3 linked regions of the Xenopus tropicalis genome follow. The protein of the gene in region 1 purifies or fractionates together with the protein of each later gene. This does not show direct contact. Links are inferred from orthologs where the notes say so. Each region holds a gene or a part of one and is shown on either strand. Other genes may lie near its edges. The genes, in order: pold1, mms19 and pold3.

The links.
Region 2: the proteins of pold1 (region 1) and mms19 purify together in Homo sapiens (affinity purification with western blotting; 3 studies listed by BioGRID and IntAct, with this or other methods). This does not show direct contact. The link is inferred for Xenopus tropicalis from reciprocal best matches to the Homo sapiens genes POLD1 and MMS19.
Region 3: the proteins of pold1 (region 1) and pold3 purify together in Homo sapiens (co-immunoprecipitation; 8 studies listed by BioGRID and IntAct, with this or other methods). This does not show direct contact. The link is inferred for Xenopus tropicalis from reciprocal best matches to the Homo sapiens genes POLD1 and POLD3.

The regions. Positions count from the first base shown.
Region 1 is NC_030683.2:117,272,745-117,276,398, forward strand, and holds part of pold1 (DNA polymerase delta catalytic subunit), read right to left. Parts: intron 3,472-3,654; coding exon 3,280-3,471; intron 2,249-3,279; coding exon 2,160-2,248; intron 1,529-2,159; coding exon 1,412-1,528; intron 974-1,411; coding exon 860-973; intron 52-859; coding exon 1-51. UniProt on the Homo sapiens protein: As the catalytic component of the trimeric (Pol-delta3 complex) and tetrameric DNA polymerase delta complexes (Pol-delta4 complex), plays a crucial role in high fidelity genome replication, including in lagging strand synthesis, and repair.
Region 2 is NC_030683.2:33,016,999-33,020,652, forward strand, and holds part of mms19 (MMS19 nucleotide excision repair protein homolog), read right to left. Parts: intron 2,888-3,654; coding exon 2,790-2,887; intron 2,313-2,789; coding exon 2,157-2,312; intron 2,025-2,156; coding exon 1,869-2,024; intron 726-1,868; coding exon 632-725; intron 501-631; coding exon 398-500; intron 1-397. UniProt on the Homo sapiens protein: Key component of the cytosolic iron-sulfur protein assembly (CIA) complex, a multiprotein complex that mediates the incorporation of iron-sulfur cluster into apoproteins specifically involved in DNA metabolism and genomic integrity.
Region 3 is NC_030678.2:174,997,557-175,001,310, forward strand, and holds the start of pold3 (DNA polymerase delta subunit 3), read left to right. Parts: upstream 1-1,285; 5' UTR 1,286-1,348; coding exon 1,349-1,405; intron 1,406-3,646; coding exon 3,647-3,702; intron 3,703-3,754. UniProt on the Homo sapiens protein: Accessory component of both the DNA polymerase delta complex and the DNA polymerase zeta complex.

The sequences.
Region 1 (3,654 bases):
AACACCTTTTGCTTAAAAGGGTCAGTCTCTTTCTTCAGTTCTGCCTTTGCCCTAAAACATAAAGATGTGAATTCAGCAATGGTCTCCATCTAGTTCTGAGATACAACTCCCAGCAATCTCTAAATTCCAATGTACAGGATAGTTACTGAAGAAATAGGCAATATAATATAGTGTGTCTCACTATATGAGTCAGAACAACTTTCAATACCAAATTCCAAAGTGAAACCTGGATGCAATTCATGCCTACTGTATGTGTGTATATTATATAGATACACACACACATATACATACATCAGTCACAAATTGCATCCAGGATTCAGTTTGGAATTTTGGTATTGAAAGTTGTAAGTGCAAAAAAAAGGGGCGAATGCAGCCTTTGCCCTTTGCAGACTGCATGGGGCATGTTGAATGAGTGTGACAAACACTGTATATGAGCGTAAACTAAGTGATGTATTTGCTGCTGTGTCTGGTAATAGATCCAAGTATCCAAATGATGCAGCTCGCCAGTGCCAAGTAAAAATCAGCATAAGGCCATGTCTTATAGTTTATCTTTTACCAAGATAGAAAAGCTTTAACCTATATACTGCACATGTCAATGGGGGTATAACTGTGTTTAAAGGGGCAGTAGCAGTGTGCTCAAAAGGAAGCACTGTTGCTGTGAGTGCAGTGATACTAGTGATACAAGTGGGTTGGGCAAGTATGAGCTGACAAATAGGCCCATTGTCTTCATATAGTTAAGAGGGCTTGATACATTAGGTGTCCTCACCACCTTTGGCTGGGTTGGGCCTGAGTTGAGAAGGGGAGGTTCAGGAAATTATCGACCTCACTACCAAAGACCCATAAATCTTGATTTACTCACCGTTTTCGGGCACATAACAAGTTTTCCAGAATTTCAGGAAGCAGTCCTTTCCTTATACTCGCCTTAACAAAACAATCACCAGTTGGGGTCTTGATAAAATCTTCAGGACTGAGGCTGGATAGTTACAGAGGACACAAAGGGTTAAAACAGAGGTGTTGCAGAGATTCAACAAGAACAGCTCTGGATTATTACTCTGTAAATTGGAGTCTTTGGGTTCCAGGAACAACTTTTAAGCAAGATTACAAGGTGTTTGGGCAATCCTGGCTGTACAAGCTAACAACTGCTTGTCTGCAAAGAGTAATGACATGAGGGTCACCGCATGGGATTTCCCAGCCTTCCCAACTAACATCGGACCAAACCCCAAATCAGATATTGATCAAAAAGGAAATGGTTGTGGCCACATACATGGGCCAGTAAGCTGCAGATGCAGTCAAGATTGTCATATGCATACAATGCTGAATATACATTGCCCATCTATATTAAGCTGTGTACAATCAGGTATCTGTGAAGCACTAAATCTCTGATACGTGGAACGGACAGCAGAACACTTACCCGTATTTATCTATGGATCCAGACTGCAACAGAGTGGTGTAGCAGAGATTATGGGCCATCATAATAGATGGATACAGAGACGAGAAATCAAGAGTGGCAATTGGCACATCATAATACCTGCAGTTAAATCATAGGCATGTATTTAGTGGATCCTATGGCAAACTCAAATAAAATCCAAATCCCACAATTCCCTGCACACCTGATGTCAATAAGGAAATGAACAGCACAGTGCAATGCATTGTGGGTTATGTAGTTCCTGCATGTTGTGTGCAAGCTGTGGAGAAGTTGTTACAATTTGTAACATCAGTGTTTTTTTCCCTCCTCCACCAGTGTTTCAAATGATGCAGAAAGAGAAGAATTGTTTTGCAGCTGGATTTCAGCATATAAAAATGGTATTTATTCCTACTTTTTGAAGGAACAGATTACAGTGATAGGGATATTAGGGGTTTGTGTGCTGTGTGGGGCTATCTAATTTTGGTTCAGTATCTGGAGTTCCCCTTTAATTCAAAATACTCAAAAAGTGTCTCCCAGCCGCAGCTATCCAGCATATAAAAATATATGCAGTATGTTATAAAAATTTTTTAAATAAGGAGTATCTCTTTGATGTCAGCATTTCTGCAGTGTGTACTCTGATAAGCAGCTCTATAAAGCAGTGCTAATAAAGAAGCTGCCAATATAATGTGACTCAGTATCCATACGGCTGTGCCCCCCCATCTGGTGAAAGTGACACATTGTATAACGTTCTTACCCTTTCAGGGGTTCAATGACTGTAGCCCCAGTGTAATCTTCACCTCCCTCTGACTTGACCACGGGCATCACCAGGTCTTGTTTCATGGCCTAAAGTATCCCAAAATGAAATCAAATTGAAAAAAAAATCAGCAAATAAAAAGAGTTTGATAATTGGCAGGAACACTAAAGTCATTCTAAATACACAAAATACAAAAATTAAACTTCACATTGTCCTTTTCAAGGTCTACCACATCCCCTCAACAATTTGCCAGTTATGAACTGCAGGTGGCACTGTTGCTTAAAATTCAATAAAGTAGCAGGGCGACAACTCACAATATCTAGAAAACAAAAAAAAATAATGTAAACTGCAAGTGTGCTCGGCAAAGTTACATGAGTTTACAGTTTCTGGAGCTGCAGCCAGTGTATACTTAGGGCGAAGTCACATGGGACGTTTTTTAAAAATGTGGATTTGTACGTTAATGCGCACAAAATAAAGCCCTGTTGAGAATAATGTTATATGCACTATAGCAATTCCTACAGGGCCTTTGCAAGCAGATATTTACAACAGAACGGCAGTGCTTGCCTATAGGCAGAAACACCTATACGTCGAGGAAATGCCATACCCTTGAACTCTATGGGATCAACATGTTTGGAAATACACTTCACTGAAATACACAGCGTATTTTCAATATGGCGGTCCAACTCTTGCAAGATGTATTGCGCATATAAGTATTTGTGGCTTGTATGCTGGTGACGTAATTATGTAGCGAATTGTTGATCAGTCCGGCTACATTTTGCATGTAAATTGCTTTTTATCATGTGCGTGTGTTTTCTCTGGCGTATTTATGCTCGGCCGGTGACCTCTTTAGTAAAAGCAGGGGTGGAGCTAGTTACAGGATTTAATAAGAGTAAAGTATTATCAGAAGTGCATACATGAGTTTCAAAAGAAATGATGTATATATGGTGGCATAAACCAGCTCCCTGCAACTGACACAATAACAGGATAATTGTTCATTTTGGGGGTTATGCTGCTGTAACAAATTGATAATTTTTAACATGTTCTAATAGCCCCCAAACCCATTACTGAAAACTACAGACAATCATAGGGTGATTCTTAAAGTGTAATGAAAAGCTCGAACCTGTCTTAGAAGCTGAGACACCACTTTAATCTGCTGGCCGCGAGACAGCAGGTAGCTGAGAGGAACGCCAGTCACGCGCGCCATTTCCATGTAGTTGATGACGCACATAAGTTTCTCCATGAGCCGAAGGGGCAAGTAGGCATCCTTCAGGCAGTAAACTGCCAGTCGCCTGCGGGTCTGCTCGTTGCCATTCTGGCACAAAACAAGATAGGATCAAGATATTATATTATAAGTTTATTATACGTGATTTGGCAGCCATAACATTTCTACTATGGAATAACATGGAGGTTTCTATTTGCCTTCAAATGTTTTCTGTGTTTTTAGGACACTGCTCTAACGAGACAAACTCTATGGCTTCATCTATCAGTTGTGTAA
Region 2 (3,654 bases), about 84 Mb from region 1:
GAATTCAGGGCACACATTTGTTTCTGCTCAACTCTCCATCACTGTCTCTGTCACTACTCAAATGGATCACTGTATTACAGACACTATATACTGCCCACTTTTATATCAGAGACTGCGGCACTGCAGCTAGCAACAACCATATCTTTACATTAAGAACAGTGGAAAAACTAAGACGACTACTGCAACATGGTTTCAATGGTGCATGTAATCAGAACCAGCAGTGCAGTAAATAGCAGAAAGCAACAGAAACAATGGCCATTACCATTAACAAATACCCTTATAATAACTTAAGTCCACTTAATGAATACTTAACAGATCATTTAAATTACATTTGCGTTATTTTGAAGTTTAGAATCCCTTTAACGTTAAAATACACAATTAAATGTATCCAGCCTACCTGGAATGGTTGGAAGTTGCTTGGTAAATTGTTTTCAGAAAAAAGTGAAACATCCCCATCAAGAAATAAGGCTACAACCTGGGAGACGCTTTTTGAGGCTAACCTGACAAAGGAAAATAAATAGCAGACAAGAATTGGGGGCTTTAATCCATGGCCCTCAGAAAGGCAATAAAACTAAGACTGGGGATATAGAAATGGTTCTTTATGTATAATATCAGCATCCACTATACTCACTCGGGTGTGAGATGGGTGCAGGCTGCAGTAATTACTGGCACCATTGCAGTGAGAACATCATCCCTCAGCAAAACATTGCAGGAAGTTCCGCTGTCTGAAAAAAGCAAAAGATATGATAAGGATACGAGATACAAACAACCTGAAGGTACAATAAAAACTATATTTAAGTTTTTAATTACCAAAATATATAGACAATATTTAACTCATGCTACACAGTTGTGTCCCTTATGGATACAGGTTATGATCACAGAGAGTGAGTATCCCTTATTGATACAGGTTCAGTAGGTGCAGGCTACTAGAATATGCAGTAAACTATTTATTATGCACACAGGACATTCCCCTATGTGGAAGTGGAAGCTGCTATATAGCTTGCCTTAACGGATGTAAACGTTTTCTGTAGGCAGCAACAGAAGCAGAATTTGTAGAAATCATCCCACAGATGCTCCACTCTAGTGCAACATTATGTAATTAACTAGAAGCTGCCGTACATAGGACCAGTCCAGCTTGTCCCTGCCTATCTAATCCATATAGTCTGAGTGGCTACTTATTGATCATTCACTTCTAGCATTTTCTTGATGACATTTCTTTTCCAAATTCCATGAATCTTACATAAGCTTGGACTGTGATACATCTTGAAATACACTTTTTACCTTAGCTGACTGATTTAAGTTCAGACCTGAAAGTGATCCAGAGGATAGAACAGTTTTCACATGGTCAGAATTGCCAAAAAAATCTTCAAAAATGTCCAACACAGCATGTAATTCTAACAAATAGCTTTTCTCCTCTTTAAAGGGCTTGTTCACCTTTCAAGTTTACTTTTAGTACGTTATAGAATGGCAAATTCTAAGCCACTTTTCAATTGGTCTTCATTATTTGTTTTTTTTTTATAGTTTCTGAATTATTTCCCTTCTTCTTACTCTTTCCAACTTTCAAACGGGGGTCACTGACCGCAGAAACCAAAAAAACTATTGGATCTGTGAGGCTACAATTTTAATTGTTACTTTTTTTATAACTTATTTTTCTATTCAGACCCTCTCCTATTCATCTTCCAGTCTCATTCAAACCACTGCTTAGTTTCTAAGGTACTTTAAACCCTAGCAACCAGATGTGAAATAATTAAAAAAAACATGAGACATGTACGCAAAACATTTTTACATGTAGAGAGGAGAAAAAATGGCATGTTAATGCAAACACAAAAATTTACCTTTTCTGATTTTTAAACAGTTAAATGTCGTACCTTGTGTTGCAGCTTGTACAGTTAATGACAGAAGGGAGGGTAACACAATTTCATGGTAAAACTGAAGAGCCTCGGAATCTAGTTGGCACTGTACAGCCACCCGATGAAGGCTCCTACATATAGACACCACATTTTCTGCATTTGTCTCCCCTTCTCCTAGACAGACAAATAAGATATATATTTCAAGCAGAATGAAAACCTGAACATTGCACTGTAAGAGATGTAACTGTGCAGCAGAAATACATCAGATTGTACAAGTTCTTGCAACGCTTGGGTGCACTCACATACCATTGTGCACCCTCCCTATATAGTCCAGTAGGATAGGAACAGTTTCTTTAAGAATACTCTGATGTGTGGATACAGCGGCTAATGCCTCTAGACATCGCTGCCTTATAAAACGCTCAGGGACCACTCTGCTTTCATTCAGATTAATATCCATTGGTTCTAAAATAAAAAAACAGAAGGGATTAAACTTGTTAACAAGCAGTGATTACAAGAAAATGACATCTATGGCTGCCTGTTGTGCAGTCTAGGCATTCTCTTTCATGATAATTAATTTCTATTAAAAATACATTTTAGTAGAAAATACTTATTTGTAACACAACAATTGAAGGCAGATATAAGGTCAAGGCTGCATGGGTGACTGTCACATGAAGAAGGAATCTCAGATGTCACTTGTTCCTGCAGTGGAGGATTAGGGAGCTCTCAGAAAATGTCACGGACAGGACCAAGGTAATAGGAAGCTGCACAATAGCTTAAGGTGCATCTTGTCACTTATTTACAGTGCTGTACTGTGACTGAGGAGAACCCCAGTGTTCACAAGCAGTGACGTTCACTTGGATTGCACAACCAATGGGAATGACTTTGGTTCTAATCTGGCCCAAGCCTCAAGAAACAACAAGAGCAAGAAGAATTCTTTACCTGTTTGCAAGTTTGCGCAGAGCTGTGGCAGCATCCTACTGATAAACACTGAGGGGTGAACTTTAGCCAGGGTTCCTGAAGCCTCAATGGCTGCCATACTGCAAAGATAAAAAAATAGTTAAAGAGGTACTATTCTTTAGTGCACTGAAGTAAAGGGAGGGAAGCTATACTTACATCTCATCATCCACTCAACATTTAATTATAGGGGATATTTACCTTTGGGTTAACTTTTAGTATGACGTAGAGAGTGAGATTCTGAGACAATTTTAACTTGGTCTTTATTTTTTATTATCTGTAGTTTTTTCAATTATTTAAATTTTTGTTCTGCAGCTCTACAGTTTAGCGGTTCAGCAGCTACCTGGTTGCTAAGTTTCAAATTACCTTAGCAACCAGGCAGTAGTTTGAATGAGAGGCTGGAACATGAATAAGAGAGGACATGAATAGAAAAATACAATATTAAAAGTAACAATAACAGTAAAATTGTAGCCTCACAGAGAAATAGTTTTTTGGCTAGAGGAAGAGGTAGAAGAAGGCGGCAAATAATAAATAAAGACCAATGCAAAAGTTGCTTACTGTAGAAATGGCCATTCTATAACATACTAAAAGTTACACCACCCCTTTAACTCAGACACTCATTTATCCAACAGCAAAATTGTTTTTATGCAAAGGAACGGTACATGAGTGCTGCTGATCTGTTTAGACATTCAGTGCTGGAAATTGTCAATTATTTTGCTACAGAGCATTTTCTTGCTCTTTACTGACTTTCTGTAATTCATAACTGAGGCTACAACAGTTGTAAACTTGTTTTGTCCAGTTGAGTCTAATGCACACTGTTATAATAAACTATAAAGCTAAAAACTATCAT
Region 3 (3,754 bases), on another chromosome or scaffold:
ACCCCTTATCCGGAAAATCCCAGGTCCCGAGCATTCTGGATAACGGGTCCCATACCTGTACTATGGATACCAAGTGCTGCTGTAGGCTATAGGGATAAAATTGTTCCAGTTCACATACATTAAAGGAACACTGACATGGGAAAACATCACCCCCAGCAGCCGATCAGCAGAACAATGGGAAGGGAGCAAGATAGCAGCTCCCAGTAGGTATCAGAATAGCACTCAATAGTAAGAAATCCAAGTCCGGCTTGGGACTCCTCCAGTTACATGGGAGTAGGAGAAACAATAGGTTAGCTGAAAGCAGTTCTAATGAGTAGCGCTGGCTGAAAGCTCAGACTCAGGCACACTTTACTGCTGCGCTGCAAGTTGGAGTGATATCCCCCCCCTCACCCCCAGCAGCCAATCAGCAGAACAATGGGAAGGGAGCAAGATAGCAGCTCCCAGTAGGTATCAGAATAGCACTCAATAGTAAGAAATCCAAGTCCGGCTTGGGACTCCTCCAGTTACATGGGAGTAGGAGAAACAATAGGTTAGCTGAAAGCAGTTCTAATGAGTAGCGCTGGCTGAAAGCTCAGACTCAGGCACACTTTACTGCTGCGCTGCAAGTTGGAGTGATATCCCCCCCCCTCACCCCCAGCAGCCAATCAGCAGAACAATGGGAAGGGAGCAAGATAGCAGCTCCCAGTAGGTATCAGAATAGCACTCAATAGTAAGAAATCCAAGTCCGGCTTGGGACTCCTCCAGTTACATGGGAGTAGGAGAAACAATAGGTTAGCTGAAAGCAGTTCTAATGTGTAGCGCTGGCTGAAAGCTCAGACTCAGGCACAAGGCACTGAGATGGCGCCTACACACCAATATTACAGCTACAAATACATTTGTTGGTACAAGAATAGAAGGTTAAATGGCAGAGGGAATTGTTTCTGTGTGACAGTGTCATTTAGAGACAAACAGCCCCATAAATATGAGGGCAGGGTCCCTTTAAACCCCAGGTTTGCCTGTTCAAGCTGTGACTCCATTTCCTACAGATTCCCCCTTGTATCTGCCTGTAAGGGTAAAGTCTGCCTGCCCTATAGAGAGAGCCTGCAGAGGTCCTGCCTCCAGCACATATAGAGTTAACCTTCCCGGCGTGCCTTGCTCTAGTACTGGCACAGGGAAGGGGCGTGTTTATTTCTGTTCCACGTGTGCGCAGCTCGCTTCTCATTGGGCAGCGTCTTTAGCCGCGTCTTCTCTCCGCCAATGATGTTGGTGCTTTTGCGCCTGCGCTCCCCGCTCCCGCTGGCCTCGGTTGTCAGGCGCCAAGTATAGAGAGTAGCTGCGGGTTCCCTGGGGCCGGACCCGGGCGGGAGCTATGGACGAACTGTACCTGGAGAATATCGACGAGCTGGTGGCTGATCAGAATAAGATCGTGAGTTCCGAGCAACTGGGGCTCTCCGGCTCTTCTGAATGGAACCTGCCGTCCCTTCTTATAATAATACCCGGGCCGCTTCTCCCTGGCATGGGCAATTTGGTGGTTTATTCCCCCTTACCCAGATGGGCACCCTGGGGTCATCCCCCCCCACCCACCCAGATGTGCACCCTGGGGTCATCCCCCCCCCACCCACCCAGATGTGCACCCTGGGGTCATCCCCCCCCCACCCACCCAGATGTGCACCCTGGGGTCATCCCCCCCCCACCCACCCAGATGTGCACCCTGGGGTCATCCCCCCCCCCACCCCACCCAGATGGGCACCCTGGGGTCATCCCCCCCCCTACCCAGATGGGCACCCTGGGGTCATCCCCCCCCCCCCGGGCCCCCCTACCCAGATGGGCACCCTGGGGTCATCCCCCCCCTACCCAGATGGGCACCCTGGGGTCACCCCCCCTACCCAGATGGGCACCCTGGGGTCACCCCCCCCTACCCAGATAGGCACCCTGGGGTCATCCCCCCCTACCCAGATGGGCACCCTGGGGTCATCCCCCCCTACCCAGATGGGCACCCTGGGGTCACCCCCCCCCTACCCAGATAGGCACCCTGGGTCATCCCCCCCCCCTACCCAGATGGGCACCCTGGGGTCATCCCCCCCCCCCTACCCAGATGGGGACCCTGGGGTCACCCCTACCCAGATAGGCACCCTGGGGTCATCCCCCCCCTACCCAGATGGGCACCCTGGGGTCATCCCCCCCCCCTACCCAGATGGGGACCCTGGGGTCACCCCCCCCTACCCAGATAGGCACCCTGGGGTCATCCCCCCCCCACCCAGATAGGCACCCTGGGGTCATCCCCCCCCCACCCAGATAGGCACCCTGGGGTCATCCCCCCCCACCCAGATAGGCACCCAGGGGTCATCCCCCCCCCCCACCACCCATATAGGCACCCTGGGGTCATCCCCTACCCAGATGGGCACCCTGGGGTCATCCCCCCCTTACCCAGATGGGGACCCTGGGGTCACCCCCCCCCCTACCCAGATGGGGACCCTGGGGTCACCCCCCCCCTACCCAGATGGGGACCCTGGGGTCATCCCCCCCTACCCAGATGGGGACCCTGGGGTCATCCCCCCCCTTACCCAGATGGGCACCCTGGGGTCACCCCCCCCCTACCCAGATGGGGACCCTGGGGTCATCCCCCCCTTACCCAGATGGGGACCCTGGGGTCATCCCCCCCCTTACCCAGATGGGCACCCTGGGGTCATCCCCCCCTTACCCAGATGGGGACCCTGGGGTCATCCCCCCCTACCCAGATGGGGACCCTGGGGTCATCCCCCCCTACCCAGATGGGGACCCTGGGGTCATCCCCCCCTTACCCAGATGGGGACCCTGGGGTCACCCCCCCCCTACCCAGATGGCACCCTGGGGTCATCCCCCCCCACCCAGATAGGCACCCTGGGGTCATCCCCCCCCCCCCACCCAGATAGGCACCCTGGGGTCATCCCCCCCCCCCCACCCAGATAGGCACCCTGGGGTCATCCCCCCCCCACCCAGATAGGCACCCTGGGGTCATCCCCCCCCCCCCCACCCAGATGGGCACCCTGGGGTCATCCCCCCCCCCCACCCAGATGGGCACCCTGGGGTCATCCCCCCCCCCACCCAGATGGGCACCCTGGGGTCACCCCCCCCCTACCCAGATGGGCACCCTGGGGTCACCCCCCCTACCCAGATGGGCACCCTGGGGTCACCCCCCCTACCCAGATGGGCACCCTGGGGTCACCCCCCCCCTACCCAGATGGGCACCCTGGGGTCACCCCCTTACCCAGATGGGGACCCTGGGGTCATCCCCCCCTTACCCAGATGGGGACCCTGGGGTCATCCCCCCCTTACCCAGATGGGGACCCTGGGGTCATCCCCCCCCTACCCAGATGGGGACCCTGGGGTCATCCCCCCCCCCACCCAGATGGGAACGATGGGGTCTTCCCATAATTCCTTGCATGACCCTTATAATGTTGCATTTGGAACAGGGCCCCAATCTGGTTTTTGGCCAGTTTTGGTCACCTCTGGTTCAGGGGTTGGGTCAGTACAAATGCAGTGAGACCCAGGCAGTCCCTGTTGTGTTACTGAGCCAATGGGCTGCCGGTATTTCAGCCTCATTATCCCTCTAGCCCCGCCCATCTGTATCGCTATGTATCATACTGACTTGCCCCGACTGACGCCATTCTCTCTGCTTGCGTTACAGGTGACGTACAAATGGCTGAGCCACACGCTGGGCGTCCATGTTAACCTGGCGAAACAGTGAGTACTGCCCCCCCCCCCTTGCTTCCCATTGGGGCCTCACTGCGAATAT